Linked DNA regions of Arabidopsis thaliana. Each later gene encodes a partner of the first gene's protein in a complex. Each region holds a gene or a part of one and is shown on either strand. Other genes may lie near its edges.

Region 1 (11,800 bases):
TTTTGCCTGTTGGAAAATGTTCTTCCATGGATTATCCACTTTCTTAGCAGCCTCACAAGCATCACACAGATCTTGAAACTCCTCATCTACGTTATCAGCTCCACGAATCTTTTGCAACATCTCTCTCGCTTGTTCGTACTTGCCTCTCTCGAGCATCGAGTTTGGTGTATCGGGCAAGACAAAAGATCCAATAACCATAATAACTGCCGGTACAGCGGCTAAACCCAATGATACTCTCCATCCGTTCTTAGCCATTTGAGATGTTCCGTAGTTGATTAAGTTTGCAATCAAAATCCCGATGGTTATAGCCATTTGAAACCCGATGTTAAGTGCTCCTCGGATCTTCGCTGGAGCCATCTCCGAGAGATAAACAGGCGTAGACTGGAAAAACAAAGTTAAAGATGGATGAGCCATACTGAAACCAAATATACCTTACTTTATTTCATACTAAGCGCTAACAATATTTTTATAGCTAACAAATCAAATATCGTGCAACCAAACAGCAACGAATAAACCAAAATAAACCGCAACTAAATTTTGATAGTATTAATTATTTATTTGTATTTTAAAACTGAACCTTAGATGTAAGTTGATTCTAGTTTGGAAATTGGAACCACTCTGAAAAATTGAGAAATTTTTGAACCAAACCGAGTCCAGAACCAGAATGTCTTGAGCTAAACCACATAATAAACACACCATGACCATGTTGAGTTGTTGACTCACCTGATTGGCAAATCCAACACCGACTCCGAGCAACAATCTACCAACGATGAGCATTGCGACATTGGTAGCAAATGCGTTGAATAGAGAACCTATGAGGAAAGCAACCCCTCCAACAAACATGGAGATTTTGCGTCCGTACTTCCTTGTGACAGCCGAAGCTACAAAGGAAGACGCGAGTGCCGCGAGGTAGAGTGAGGAAGTGAACAACTGTAGCAATTGGTTATCGAATTTGCAGTAAGCAGTCTCGCGCCTTGCTTCGTGCATTTGCTTATCCACCTCCGGGAAAAACTTGCTCAGAAACTCCTCCATAGATGTCACTCCACCTATACAACAAAAGAAGTCACGTTACATTCCCCGAAGCTAGAGTGGACAGCGAAAGCGAACCAAAATAACTCAACCCGAAGAAGAAAAAGGCGAATGTGGAATTTACGAACCTGAGATACCGAGGTCATAACCAAAGAGGAGACCTCCCATAGCGGCCACAATACATGTCATGATGACAAAGACGGTGACTCCGCCTTCATAGCTGTTTCCTCCACCACCACCTTCTGATACAAAGGCTCCTCCAGCCATTATTATTTATTCTTCACTTATTGATTGTTAGTATTATTGCCTTTTGCTTTGTTATTCAAACAAGAACTAGTGAGCTTATGATCCAAAACTGAAGAGCTTGTGAGCTCCTTAAATATAAGAATTTTCGTTATCTATTATTAGGAATCGATTGTGATATTAGCTGTTTTAGATTTATCTTAGCTTATGAATAGGTGAAGTGGTTTTGGTATTTTTTTCATGTTCTTCAAACCCAGTTTTAGTGGAGATCTTACTGTCTTTTTTTGACAGTTTCTTTTGTTTTTTTACTGACAACTTCCGCTCATTTCTCTGTAATTTTTATTACATAAAGACTCTAAGAGATATGTTGAAAAAGACAGTCTAACCCTAAAATAGGATCTTGTATTAATATAATAACAGTCGCATTTAGCTGTGAACTAATTGTGATTTCGTTCAGTACGTATATATAATATAGTCTATTTGGAGACATTTCATTTCTAGTTTAGTTTGGTTCATATATTTAGGATTGATTATTAGATACACGTCATTGTAGATCGTTGTTCCAGCTAATTTGAGAGAGAACGTTACAAAGATAATTGAAAATGAAGAAAAAAACAAAGTAAATATATCTACGTAGACAAAAATGTTCATTGTCATTATGAACACACCGTACGTTCTCTAATAGAATAGGTTTTAAGATATTTCTCATCTTTGTAACTCTGTAATATATATATGCAAATTGAAAAAGAAACAACAACAACAACAACGTTCCCATTTTTGAATCATGTCATTATGTCAATCTCGGTGTAATTAACAATGAGCTGGACGAAGAACACATAGCAAAACCTCCGAGAATGAAGATTGGATCAGTTCAACATCCTAAGCCTTGGTCATCAAATATATATCAGGCTCATGGACGACAGAAGTCCGAGTTTGTAACATGAGAAAAGATATTACAAATTAAGTTTATCACTACGTACGTACTTGATAAGTCTAAATGAAAAGTGATGGAACAAGAAATCTTTAGAATAAACATGTCAAGTGATCATGACATGATGCAACAGCCATGAACAATTATCAGCCACCCTTTCATTACGTAATTAACCATCACATTAAATCTCATGAAGACTTTCTTTATCTCGGCTGTCTCCTGATTAACCGAACCACGACTTCTTCTTCTCAAGAGCTCAAGTGGCTTTTTTGCTTATATTCACAAAATGAATTGATGGCTATTAAGCAAGAGTGAATGAGGATCAAACAGTGCACATTCAAACTTTGGGTCCAAAATCTTTAACGACCATATTCATCATTTAGCTAATTTTGTCTATAAATTGATTATAGCATTTAAAATCAAAATTTCTTTTATTTCCAAGACAAACAGTCATACATATATATGCCAGTTAGCTGTTGTTTTCACCTTTGAATCTTAGAATTTATTTTTTCACCAACGTTGGACATGCTCTTTATAAGAGTTTGGAGGGCTTTTAGTTATGGGGCAACTAAACCTTGCACGGAATTTTCCTTAATTAGTTCATGTTTAAATGTATCATAGTTAACTATGTCATGGTTAATCCACAAAAAAAAAAACATATTGTGTATGTCCAACTACTCATCCATCCTTTTAGGTTCATCCTTGAGAACCTTGCCATATATCTACTTCTTTTTGGGAAGTACGCTCGGTAGTGGAATGGATAGTTGCTTTTTTTTTTTTTTTAAATGGATAGTTGCTTCATCCTCAACTTTAGCCACAAAATCTAAAACTTGGATGGCAGTTTAATATTTTTGATCTGTTAAATCTCGGAGGCGCCAAACTTTTCGTTTGGGTGAAGAGATCCTTTGATAACTCCCAATACACATAATGATCTGATACCAAATTTGTTTTTATTAGTGTCATCTTATATAACATTTTTTATTTATGATAAGATGTGAATATATTACCAAAACGTAGTAAGAATTTTATTTTAATGAGATTTACTAATATAAAGTTTTTTTTGGGTTTTATTTAAATGGGTTAGGAGTGCAATTGAATCATTTTTTCAACTATTTCAACTTAAATAGTAAAAAATTGATTGAATGTTTATTCAACTCTTTTAATTTCTTCAATTACGTCAACCATTTGCACTGGTTTGTCAATTACAGCAATAAGATTTTTCTCTGAAAACTCATTACAAGAAAACTTGTTCTATTCTTTAGTGAGTTTTTAATCTACTAATTATATATATGAAAGTTAGCCAACTCTCTCCATATGATTGACACATCATCACTTTAACATTTGCCATGTATCCACTGAATAATTAATGTAAGCTCTTCAACTTTTAATTTATAGATTAATGATGTATTTATTATTTAATTTTACATATTTAATTGTACTAATACTAAATTTATTTTGTTATTAAATGTTTTTCAATAAAATAATTTGATTGATTTTCTCATACTCAAAAGATTTTTTTCTGTAATCTTAACTCAAATTATGAGTGTATAGTAGTCATGGATTAATTAATAGTTTGAATAGTTTGCATATTGTTATATATCTATATAATAAATCGCCGAGGGTGAAGAGTATGTAAGAAGTTTAATCATCAAATTCTTAGGTTTCGAGAATCCCAATATTACCTTCTATTTAATTAGTTTAAGACGAACATTGTTTAGGAATTGTGTGTATAATGCATTGTTGAGAATGTTGTTAGAAAAAATATATTTTAATATTAAGAATAATTACTTATTATATAAGTAAATGATTAGATAATTAAAAATTATATTTAAATTAAACGATACAAAAAATTTAAAAATACCGCAGCGTAGCGCGGGTGATTACCTAGTCATAGTAAAATTAGTAGTGACAGATTTTAAAAAATGACAAGCTTATGCTAGTAACTTTACAAAATAGATAGCATTATATAAATATTTTACTGTAGTATGAGTCAATACTTTTTTAATTATTAATTTAGTCAATATATGTTAGATGCAAATGTATTTTTTTTTATTGACCAATACTTTGGTAGTATAATATTAGTAGTATTAGATATTATTGGCTATAAATAGATTCAACATTGAAACACAAATCATATATATGAAAGAAGACTAACTCTCTCCCACAACTTGACACATAAGCACATGAGAGCTTGCCACCTAGACTTCATAAAATAAGTAATACATAATTAGTAATTAATTCAACATAACAACTAAAATAGGAGAATATAATTAATGAGAACTTGAACCATCACTCTTTCTACATTTTTAATTCAATATATCCTCTTTAATTTTGAGATCCACTTAAGTGGCTAAAGTGATGATAAAATCCAAACATGTTACACATATTCCTGGCCTAAAAATTAGACGATTATTATGAAAGAAACTAAATGAATATGCAGATTAAATATATCTAAGCTTTTCGATATTTATGCTAAGAAAACAGGTAATTTGAAAGATATTTGAGGAGCTATCCTTATAACTAATACGTAAGATATAAGATTATGACAAGAACTTAACTAAACTTTCTAAGAATATCGAGTTGAATATGCTTAGATTGAATATGCAAAGACATGATTAATAAAGACATGTTATATTTTTAGTGTAAGAAATAATTTTTCTAAAATTTCACTGTCTCACAATCTATACATATAACTAAAAAAGCAAGGATATATAAATTCAAAAAAAAACTAAGAATCTAAAACAACAATAAAAAACAACTCAAGCACATTCGTTTTTCAGATGAACTAATATAGTTGGACTTTTCAAAAACAATTACAAAACATATTTATGTTTCAAAACCTATGCATTCAACTTTACTTTATATAAACAGACATTATATAAAACAATTAGTAAATAGTAATACGTAAACCCGCACGTAGTGCGGGTACTCATCTAATTTGTAAATTAATAATTCCTCAATTTGCACCCAAAAAAAGAATTCCTTAACCACGAAAAAAATAAAAAAACAAAATTACAATTTAAGGGGGAAAGTTATATGAAATTGCAAATATAACCACCAAACAAACAATCGACTATCGAGGTTACCCTTAAGAAAATCTTTATTCGCAAGATCTCTCTCTCTCTCTCTCACTCGACGCACTTTAGAAAGAAACCCTAGTCCGACGACCTCTCCTTCGCCGCTGAATCCTCATCGCTGGTCAGATTTCTATCTATCTCGCTCTTCTATGTTTCCCTATCTCGTTGGTCAGATTTCGAATCTTCTTTTTGTTCTCATGGTTTTTGAGCTCAAAACTTTGGGGTTTCAATGTCTCGATGTTATTTCTTAGCGAGGTTTCAATGTTGGCTAAGTGAAGTTTTGGTATTGTCATTTACAGATTCTTGGCGGCTTTCTTTTTGATGAAATTGGATTACGATGGCTGGATATCCTACTAATGGATCAGTCTACGTTTCAAATCTCCCCTTAGGAACTGACGAGAATATGTTGGCTGACTATTTTGGGACCATTGGGTTGCTTAAGGTATGGTATTGGCCAGGTACTAATTGTTGCTTTTGTTTTGACGTCATTGCAATCTTTTATAGGTCACTAGATTTTCGAGTTTCTTACATTTTTTTCTACATTGCTTTTAGAGAGACAAACGAACTGGTACTCCTAAGGTATGGCTGTACCGGGATAAAGAAACTGATGAGCCCAAGGGAGATGCTACTGTTACCTATGAGGATCCGCATGCTGCTTTGGCTGCTGTTGAATGGTTCAATAACAAAGATTTTCATGGAAACACCATTGGAGTTTTTATGGCCGAGTCGAAGAATAAAAATGCTGGTGATGCAGTTGAGTTTGTTGAATTCGATGGAGGTGCTGAGGAAACAAATGGAGGTGCTGGAAGGGGGAGGGGTCAGGCTGATTCTTCGGCAAAGCCATGGCAGCAAGATGGTGACTGGATGTGCCCTAATACAAGGTCTGTGATGTGATATCGGTGAGGAGCTTCATCTAGCTCTTGTTTCCGTTAATTTGCTAGTTTTTATATATTTTATAGTTTCTAGCAGTAGTGTTCTCATACTCTTTCATTGGCAGTTGTACAAATGTGAATTTTGCATTCCGTGGGGTTTGTAACCGCTGTGGAACTGCTAGACCAGCTGGTGCATCTGGTGGCAGCATGGGTGCTGGTCGTGGAAGGGGTCGAGGTGGAGGCGCTGATGGTGGGGCCCCGGGGAAGCAGCCCAGTGGTGCTCCTACTGGTCTCTTTGGTCCAAATGATTGGGCTTGTCCAATGTAAGCATTCCGATTAGGTTTGAAATAGTTAGTTCAGTTTCAGAGGATAATGAGCGTTTGGTACTTGATTAAAACACATCGCAAGAAACAATTTATATTCAGTAGCAAAAGAGAACATTCAGATGGCATATAGCGTTGCTGGATATAAAATTAATTTGTCTTATGTATGGAAGGAATATAGCTTGTATATCAATGCTTTTGATGATGTCAGTTGACTCTTTACTTAGAAAGAAGTGATGGCCCGCTCTGCTGTGCTGTGTCTCTTAAACTGGTCCAAATTATGTGTGGAGGCACATATTTTTTCCTTCTTTTTTGAATGTTGATTCTAATTTCGTAATTTTCCTTCAGATGGCTGTTAATCTGAAAAATGTAATTTGAAACGTGGGTAGGTTGTAGTCTTGATCCTTCTAAGAAGTTATATTTGTGAAGATAGGCTGCCTTCAATTTTCTGTGTCTGATACAAAAAATGGACTATGTTTTAGTTTAATTGCAAGTTATGCTATGTGTCATCGAGTAGCTTAACTAAGAGGCTGCACTGTGTGAATGTGAGTTCTTATGCATAATGCACTTTTTCTTTTTGCGCTAATTCTTTCAGGTGTGGCAATGTCAACTGGGCGAAACGTCTAAAATGTAATATCTGCAACACCAATAAACCTGGTCAGAATGAAGGTGGTGTGAGGTATGACTCAAAGCCAGTGATAAGATTGCCTTTGTATTGTTATCTTGCAATGTTCGAGCTGAGGATTTGGATTATAAATGATTTTACAGTGAATGTAGGAGAGGTCGTAGATTTTCTGTTCGATGTTTGTAGTTTTGTTGTCAGCAGGGTATATTTATTCTGCTTTTAGACAGGGCCTAATAGATACCTGGGAAAAAGTCTCAATACTCTCTTCTGCAATTTGAACGAGTGCTTGTTTTCTTCGACAATTGATTTATCCCACTTGTAATGTTTTATTTTGGCCAAATTAGAGTTGCATTAAGAAACATTAAGGTTTGAGTTTGGAAGGTTGTTTTTATCTAGACCAGTGCTTATTCATTTTTTTTTCTCTAAATAGGGGAGGCCGTGGTGGTGGTTACAAGGAATTAGATGAACAAGAATTAGAGGAAACGAAGAGACGCAGGCGTGAGGCTGAAGAAGTAAGATATGCTTTTCCTGAAGAGTTCTTTGTTTTTTGTTTTTTTGTTGCAATTCGGATGAGCTCTCAGTTTTTTGTATATTCCATTTGACTTATACGTCTAATATATTTCAGGATGATGGTGAAATGTATGATGAGTTTGGGAATCTAAAGAAGAAGTACCGTGTTAAAACAAACCAAGCTGACACCAGACCTGCTGTTGCTGCTGGTCGTGCTGGGTGGGAAGTCGAGGAACTAGGTAAGTTCTGTTTAATTTTAACTAATATGAACTAAATCTATGCAATCATCAAATAGGTTGAGCTTATGAACAGAACCTTTCCACTATAATAGAGATTTATTTGGCTCGATCTATATCTACTCTCTGTGTATAGTCTTCAAAGAAAGTTTCTGCTTGTCATCTAGACACTTGAGTGAAACTTAACATATATGCGGGGAGGGATTTGTTTGAAATTTTACATTAAGCTTGCAGCTAACTTGCCTATAGCCCAAGCCTAGTGGGGATCTCCAATAAACAGTGTTGTTCCTTGTTAGAGTTTTCTTCTTTTCACTGAATAGATATAGAGGAAGATAGAAAAGAATGTTTATTGCTGCTTCCCCAAAAATAGAAAGGTCATGATCCAATGTAGTTGTTCATAATTTATATGAATGTGGCAGGTATTGATAAAGATGGAAGAGAGAGAAGCAGAGACAGGCAAAGAGACCGTGGTAGAGATCATCACTACGATAAGGATAGACGCAGAAGCAGAAGCCGAGAGAGGGAAAGAGGCAAGGAGCGTGACTATGACTATGACCATGATCGGGACAGAGACAGAGACTACGGTCGCGAACGTGGAAGCAGGTACCGTAACTGAGAGATTACTCATAAGTGTTAGGGTTTAGTTTCTCATCTGTTTTGTCGACTTACTTTTACAACGGTATCATTACAATGTCTTCGCCTTTTGTTTACTTATTGTGTGAAGTGAAACTCATTTTGGTTTGAATCAATGGCTATTGTTTTTCACTTGTTTTGGTCTGATTATGTTCTGAGAATACTCCATGTTTATCGTTTCGAAAATTGGTAATTATGGCAAAACATGGTTAGCGACGTCAATTGCTAATTTAGACGTGTATTAAGTATTATTTTGTCTTTTGTAGTATTATTTTTAGTTGTCCCTTTGTTTTTTTTTCCATCGCCAATCATTTCATCGCTGTATGATTTTAATGGGAATAAAAAAAATAGAACAAGAAGATTTTTGTGGACAATATAGTTTCTGAAACTATAATAGGATAAGAAAAAATTAAGCTTATTTGTGGGGATATATATTAATGTCATATCATTGTCATAAACATGGTCGGCAAAACTTGGGACGGCAGTTTACCAGAATAATCCGGTCGACAGAATTCAACAGTTCCTCTCTCTAAAAGATATGAAGGAGATTAATTTTGGCTTTGTTAGCAAAGATGGCCGGTCCTCTTCTGGCAAATCCGGCTTTTACAAGCGGTTTTGGCCGGCTTTTATCCTTCCTCCGCCGTTCGATCGGTTGTTCTTACCGATTGCTTTAGTTTCTTTTTCAGTTTTTCTTTCAATAATTTCTAAAGATTTCAATTGGAGATTAATTTTAGGTCATAATAGCCTAAGATTAAGTTTTCGGATTTGTATCTTTAGAAAGTTTGATTTGCAGAATTACCTCAAGTATGAAAGGAAGTTTTGTTTCCAGCATATTGGGATTGCCTGTAGCCGTTTCTACATGTTTATGGAGCTTCGATCGATCAAATTTGAGGAATACTCAGATTTTTCTTTCCTCATTACCTGTTTTTGCCAAATCTCTTGATTGATGATTTTGGAATTGAATTCTCTGTTTGTGTATCCTCCCTTCTCTGTTTAGCAGTTTCCGGTGAGAAAAAAACAAAAATCGATGTTTGCCCTTTTTCGACGTTGATTGTGTTCACCGGATCGGAGTCTTTGACGGCACAGGATGACAGGAACGTTTCATCGCTTCTCTTGCAACACGTGTCTTGTTATACGATCGTGTTTTGTTAAAGAGATATCCTTCCTTTAAAGAAATGTAACTAAGTGGACCTTTGTTGGGCTGTATTCTGTGGATCATTAATAAACATAATCTTTCCAGTGAAAAAAAAAAAAAAAAACATGGTCGGATATGGGAAATACGATGAAAAAAGCTCGTCATGGACTCGCACTTAAAACAGGAAAATCTTTTTCGTCTAGACCCCACTTATTCACATGCACTACGACATAATTCCAAATTCTTTTAAAAAAAAAGAAGAAGTTAATAGAAAGAGTGACCAAAGTACAGTATATGATGATATTTATAACATACAGTTAAACTTCTATAAATTAATAGTCGATAAATTAATAACCTTTATAAATTAATAAATTTTTCCAATCCCGAATTTGTACCAGTGTAAAAAGTGACACAAATCGATAAATTAATAAGATAATAACTTTTTTGAAAGTTCTATGTAAATATATGGTCCCATCAATATCATAAATTAATAATTGTATAAATATATCAATTATATATATACATTATATGTAGGAATTTTTCTGAAATATAATTCTAATATTTTTTTGCTTAAATTTGTATTTATTTTTATTTAAAATTTAGTTCTCGTATTTTACTGTATCAAAAACTTTTGGTGTTGTTTTCTAAACATGATATTATTGTTTAGTTGTAATTGATTCTTGAAAGATATTTTCTATAATGAAAAAAATCCTATAATTTTTTTTGAAAAGTTACTAAATTAGGAAAATCTCTCTATAAATTAATAAATATTAATTTATCGATAAATTAAAACCTCTCTAAATTAATAAAATTTTGTAGTCCCAACATTATTAATTTATAGAGGTTTTACTGTATGTTGTGTTTAGTAATGCTGTATTAATTTTTTTAGTGACCTTTCAAACACTTTGAAGTTTTGATATTCATGTTTGAGTTTGAAAAGCTCATGTACAATATGAACCGAATACTTGACAGTGAAAAATAATTATCATAATTTCTTAAAAGTCAATCCTTCTCAAAGATATAGGAATCAAAATTCTACAGCATTCTTTTAAAAACAACATAACAAGACAAACAAAAGAAATCAATTTATGGGAATTTGAGAGACTTTGGAATTTATGTGGTTTTATTATACTAGCTCAACATAAACTTTGTCTTACTTACCTCTAATTTCTCAAACTTAGATTCAGTTTATATATTTTTGTGCATTTTACAGGTGTAAATAAAGCCAAATGAAACACTATATATATCCACTCATTTACATGTGCCCACTATAATTATTGCTCTATTCAATCCAAGAAAAAAACACAGAGGAAGAACAGAAAAAAGCTCACAAAGTCACAAGACCTCAGTAGGCTTCCTAGTTGTTCTATGAAATGTCTCCTCTCAACGATCTTAAGATCAATCTCAATGGCCAATACACATTCTTCCTCAATCAGGTAAAGAACCAAACCTAAAACTCAGTTCAAAAAACCACAGTCTTGATTATGCTCTGTTCTTAATTCTCTATGTGCTCTGTTTTAGAACGTGATTTCAAAGTACTCTGGAAGCTTGAGGAAGATGATTAAACAGAGCAAAAAGAAGAGAAACAAGAAAAAGAGAATCATCACTATCGAGATTAATGATTTTCCAGGAGGACCAGATGGGTTTGAGCTGGTTTCAAGGTTCTGTTACCACAACGGAGAAATCTTAATCGACGTCTCAAACGTCTCGACTTTGTACTGCTGCTCTGTTTTTCTAGGCATGTCGGAGAAGTTCTGTTTCTCTAATCTCTTCCTTCAGACAGAGAAGTTTCTAGAAGAAGTGTTCTATGGGTCTTGGAGCGACATCGTTTCGTGTCTCAAGAACTGCGAGCAAGTGTTCTTCCAAGCAGATTCGTATGGTCTTGTAGATAAACTCATTTTCGCAGCTTTGAACAAAATCTCTCAGAATTCAGACGATTTTTCTTCTTCTTCGCTTTCTTCCTTCGCCTCTTCTCTTTCTCCTGAGATGGCCAAGAACACGTCAGAATCAGACGGTAGGTATATTTCGCGGTCTGTTGCTTGCGGAAGAAGCAACGAGTGGTGGTTCGAAGATATGACAAATCTTTCCCCGAAGATCATATTGAAGCTAGTTATGATCATTGGAGCTTACAAAACCAACATAAAAAGCTTAGTCCTAACCAGATTTCTTCTCCATTATCTCAAGAC
Region 2 (3,600 bases), 9.0 Mb from region 1:
CTTTCCTACCACTTGTCACGCAACTTCCTTCTCCACACTCCACCTACTACTATATATTTACACACACTTTCATTACTTCTTCTTCAGCAATTAAACAATTTCTTCACTGCAATTCACAAGCAACCTTCAAACTAAAACTCGAGAGACAAGAAATCCTCAGAATCTTTAACTTAATGGCGCTCGAGGCTCTTACATCACCAAGATTAGCTTCTCCGATTCCTCCTTTGTTCGAAGATTCTTCAGTCTTCCATGGAGTCGAGCACTGGACAAAGGGTAAGCGATCTAAGAGATCAAGATCCGATTTCCACCACCAAAACCTCACTGAGGAAGAGTATCTAGCTTTTTGCCTCATGCTTCTCGCTCGCGACAACCGTCAGCCTCCTCCTCCTCCGGCGGTGGAGAAGTTGAGCTACAAGTGTAGCGTCTGCGACAAGACGTTCTCTTCTTACCAAGCTCTCGGTGGTCACAAGGCAAGCCACCGTAAGAACTTATCACAGACTCTCTCCGGCGGAGGAGATGATCATTCAACCTCGTCGGCGACAACCACATCCGCCGTGACTACTGGAAGTGGGAAATCACACGTTTGCACCATCTGTAACAAGTCTTTTCCTTCCGGTCAAGCTCTCGGCGGACACAAGCGGTGCCACTACGAAGGAAACAACAACATCAACACTAGTAGCGTGTCCAACTCCGAAGGTGCGGGGTCCACTAGCCACGTTAGCAGTAGCCACCGTGGGTTTGACCTCAACATCCCTCCGATCCCTGAATTCTCGATGGTCAACGGAGACGACGAAGTCATGAGCCCTATGCCGGCGAAGAAGCCTCGGTTTGACTTTCCGGTCAAACTTCAACTTTAAGGAAATTTACTTAGACGATAAGATTTCGTTTGTATACTGTTGAGAGTTGTGTAGGAATTTGTTGACTGTACATACCAAATTGGACTTTGACTGATTCCAATTCTTCTTGTTCTTTCATTTTAAAAATTATTAAACCGATTCTTTACCACATATTTTACAAACGCGTTGAGTCTTTTTTTTATCTGAATAAGCATAAAGTGACACCACTACAACTCTGTTTTTGGTTCTGTTTTTTTCAAAAAATTTATAACACAATTAAGCATAATCAAGAACGTTCTAGTTTCTACTACCATCCACATATTGTTCTTTCTTATATTTTGGAAAGCTCTAAGCAAATAAAAAGAGTTGTGATATCTTACGGAAGACTGCCAAAGAAAACTCAACTTTCATTTTTCTTTTACCAAAAGAATACCGTAACTTTCAATTGAAAAAAGCCTTTCTTGACGGGTCGTTTGTTTTCTTTAGTAGCACTGTTTAATTAACGTAGATAATCCCTTCTTTAATTTGGTGAATTATCTACGGGAAGTCCAAAACTCAATGGTCATAAACGTGTATCAAAATTCATCTAAAAGTTAATTAATTTTTTTTTGCAAAAGTCTGATGCTAATATGAATAACTGTTTAAGAACTCCAACATTATATTCAAGAAAAATAAATTTTGATATACAAGAACAAGCCCAGTTACCGAAAAGAAGAACAGAACGGCGCGCAGTGTTTTATCCAAAAGAAACAACTACCGAAAAGAAGATCAACAGAACGGCGCGCAGTGTTTTATCAAAAAGAAAAAACGACACGGTGTTCTCGCAGAATCTCCCTTTATATAAAAACTTGCGGAATTTGGAATCTTATTGGATACAACAAATCGTTTCCTTGAAAATTCCCTCTTCGTTTTGAGCTATTGACGTTTGGTACCGCGAGATTCCTCCATGGATCTCTCCATTGTCAAGCTCCTCGAAGAAGACGAAGAGGTTAGGTTTCGAATTTCCCACTCTCATTTTCATTTCCGTACTGTCTGCGAAAATCCACGCGCTATCTTGTTCTGTGGACGAAGCTCCTAAATGTCGATTCCCGCTAATCGTGTCGTTAGGTTGACTCTAAGCATTCGGAAGATGACTTGCAAATGTTTCAGGACTCTCTGATTCGAGATATTGAAGGTTCGTTTTGGACCCTAAAATTCATATGCGAAACTGTGGAATGTATCAAAACAGGGAAATGCCTTTAGATTTCTTTAGTGATTTAGGTTCACGAGTCGTATTTTTGTGGTTTGTCATGTATCTTCATGTTTCACTTGATGTTAACTGTTGAATGTTGATGGATGCAATTAGATTGTTAGTTCTTGATGATGCTTTAGTGACGGTTAGTCATAGAAAAATATTAGAGCATACTCATAATTGATTTTGGTGCTTGAACTCATGTGCCCCAAGGAAGTAACTTGAAGTCTATAAACAATACTACTGGTAATGAATCAGAAAAACCGCAACCTCGGTATATGAAACTGCAGAAGATGAGTAGCAAAGAGACTCCTTGGGTGGAAAAGACTGTTGACCCTGTGAATCATAATCTTAGATTAGCACGAGTTACTGATTTGCTTCGTACCGTGGTAGACCACCAACCCGGCAAAAAGACGCATTGTCTTAACCTGCATTATAAACTCAAGGTGTGGCTTTACAGTTTACATCCATGAATGAATTGGCACTCTGATCGAAGTTTCTTAATACATTACGTTTCTTTTCATACTTGATTGCAGAGAAAAGAACTTACAATGGAAGAGTTCATGCGACAACTGAGAGATCTTGTAGGTGATCAGATAATCAGATCGGTAATTAGCCAACTGCCTCAGTTAAAACCGGTATTACCCTTTCCATTTTCTTAGCATTTATAAGTACTTTAATGATTTTCATTTAGCAGCCTCCAAGAGAGTTTCTTGTTTTATATGCTTCCTTCTCTGTATATGAACATGTGCTGAGAAAGAAATCTCACTTCTGAACCTTATTAAAAAGGAAATAACATAAAGAATTCTCACTTTAATAGTATAAGCTGAATACTTCTTGTCTTGGAATTGTGGCTTACTGGTTTCAGAATGAACTGTATGTGTAACCAGGGAAATATGGGGATCAAAGTACCTGGACGCTCAAACCATGACAAAGTGTCTAAATCTGCTGGTATAACTTATTTAGTTGATGCCATTTACTTTTGCAATTATCATAGATCATCTTAACTTTCTGGTAGATCTTATCTTATGATTTCCTTGTAGCATACAAAACTAATCCCAGATACAATCATTAACTGCAGAATTCACTGCTCAAGAATCTGATCCTCGTGAAGTTCATGTTAACCAACTGTCTTCTACAACTTCAGGCACCTTAAACAGTTCAACTACTGTGCAGGGATTAAATAAGCATCCCGAGCAACACATGCAGCTTCCATCAAGTTCTTTTCATATGGATACCAAATCTGGAAGTCTTAATCCATACCCAGGGACAAATGTCACTTCTCCTGGTTCATCATCGAGAGCAAAGCTCCCTGATTTCCAGCATAGGGAAAACAATCAGAATGTGGGAATAGCCAGTGTTGGAGGACCAACCAAGTCTACAATAAACATGACGACAGTACCCAAGTTTGAGAGGCCAACTTTTGTAAATGGTCCAAGTAGGGTTCAGGATGGTCCTATATCCGACTTCCCAAAGAACTCATCCTTTCCTCTATATTCTGCTCCTTGGCAAGGATCAGTCACCAAGGACCAT

The links. The genes of interacting proteins can lie anywhere in the genome.
Region 2: TAF15 (region 1) and TAF4B share a complex: the UniProt entries of both Arabidopsis thaliana proteins name them as parts of the TFIID complex.

The regions. Positions count from the first base shown.
Region 1 is NC_003070.9:18,625,480-18,637,279, reverse strand, and holds TAF15 (TBP-associated factor 15), read left to right. Parts: upstream 1-5,240; 5' UTR 5,241-5,401; intron 5,402-5,579; 5' UTR 5,580-5,617; coding exon 5,618-5,722; exon of another isoform or gene 5,723-5,738; intron 5,739-5,832; coding exon 5,833-6,161; intron 6,162-6,277; coding exon 6,278-6,475; intron 6,476-7,070; coding exon 7,071-7,154; intron 7,155-7,530; coding exon 7,531-7,612; intron 7,613-7,725; coding exon 7,726-7,849; intron 7,850-8,265; coding exon 8,266-8,462; 3' UTR 8,463-8,725; downstream 8,726-11,800. Other genes in the region: STP9 (sugar transporter 9), read right to left, coding at 1-381, 724-1,046, 1,158-1,296; AT1G50290 (uncharacterized protein), read left to right, coding at 9,018-9,422; AT1G50280 (Phototropic-responsive NPH3 family protein), read left to right, coding at 10,988-11,050, 11,136-11,800. UniProt on the Arabidopsis thaliana protein: TAFs are components of the transcription factor IID (TFIID) complex that is essential for mediating regulation of RNA polymerase transcription.
Region 2 is NC_003070.9:9,645,559-9,649,158, reverse strand, and holds the start of TAF4B (TBP-associated factor 4B), read left to right. Parts: upstream 1-1,782; coding exon 1,783-1,824; intron 1,825-1,834; exon of another isoform or gene 1,835-1,943; coding exon 1,944-2,010; exon of another isoform or gene 2,011-2,280; coding exon 2,281-2,513; intron 2,514-2,603; coding exon 2,604-2,705; intron 2,706-2,957; coding exon 2,958-3,018; intron 3,019-3,148; coding exon 3,149-3,600. Other genes in the region: STZ (salt tolerance zinc finger), read left to right, coding at 174-857. UniProt on the Arabidopsis thaliana protein: TAFs are components of the transcription factor IID (TFIID) complex that is essential for mediating regulation of RNA polymerase transcription.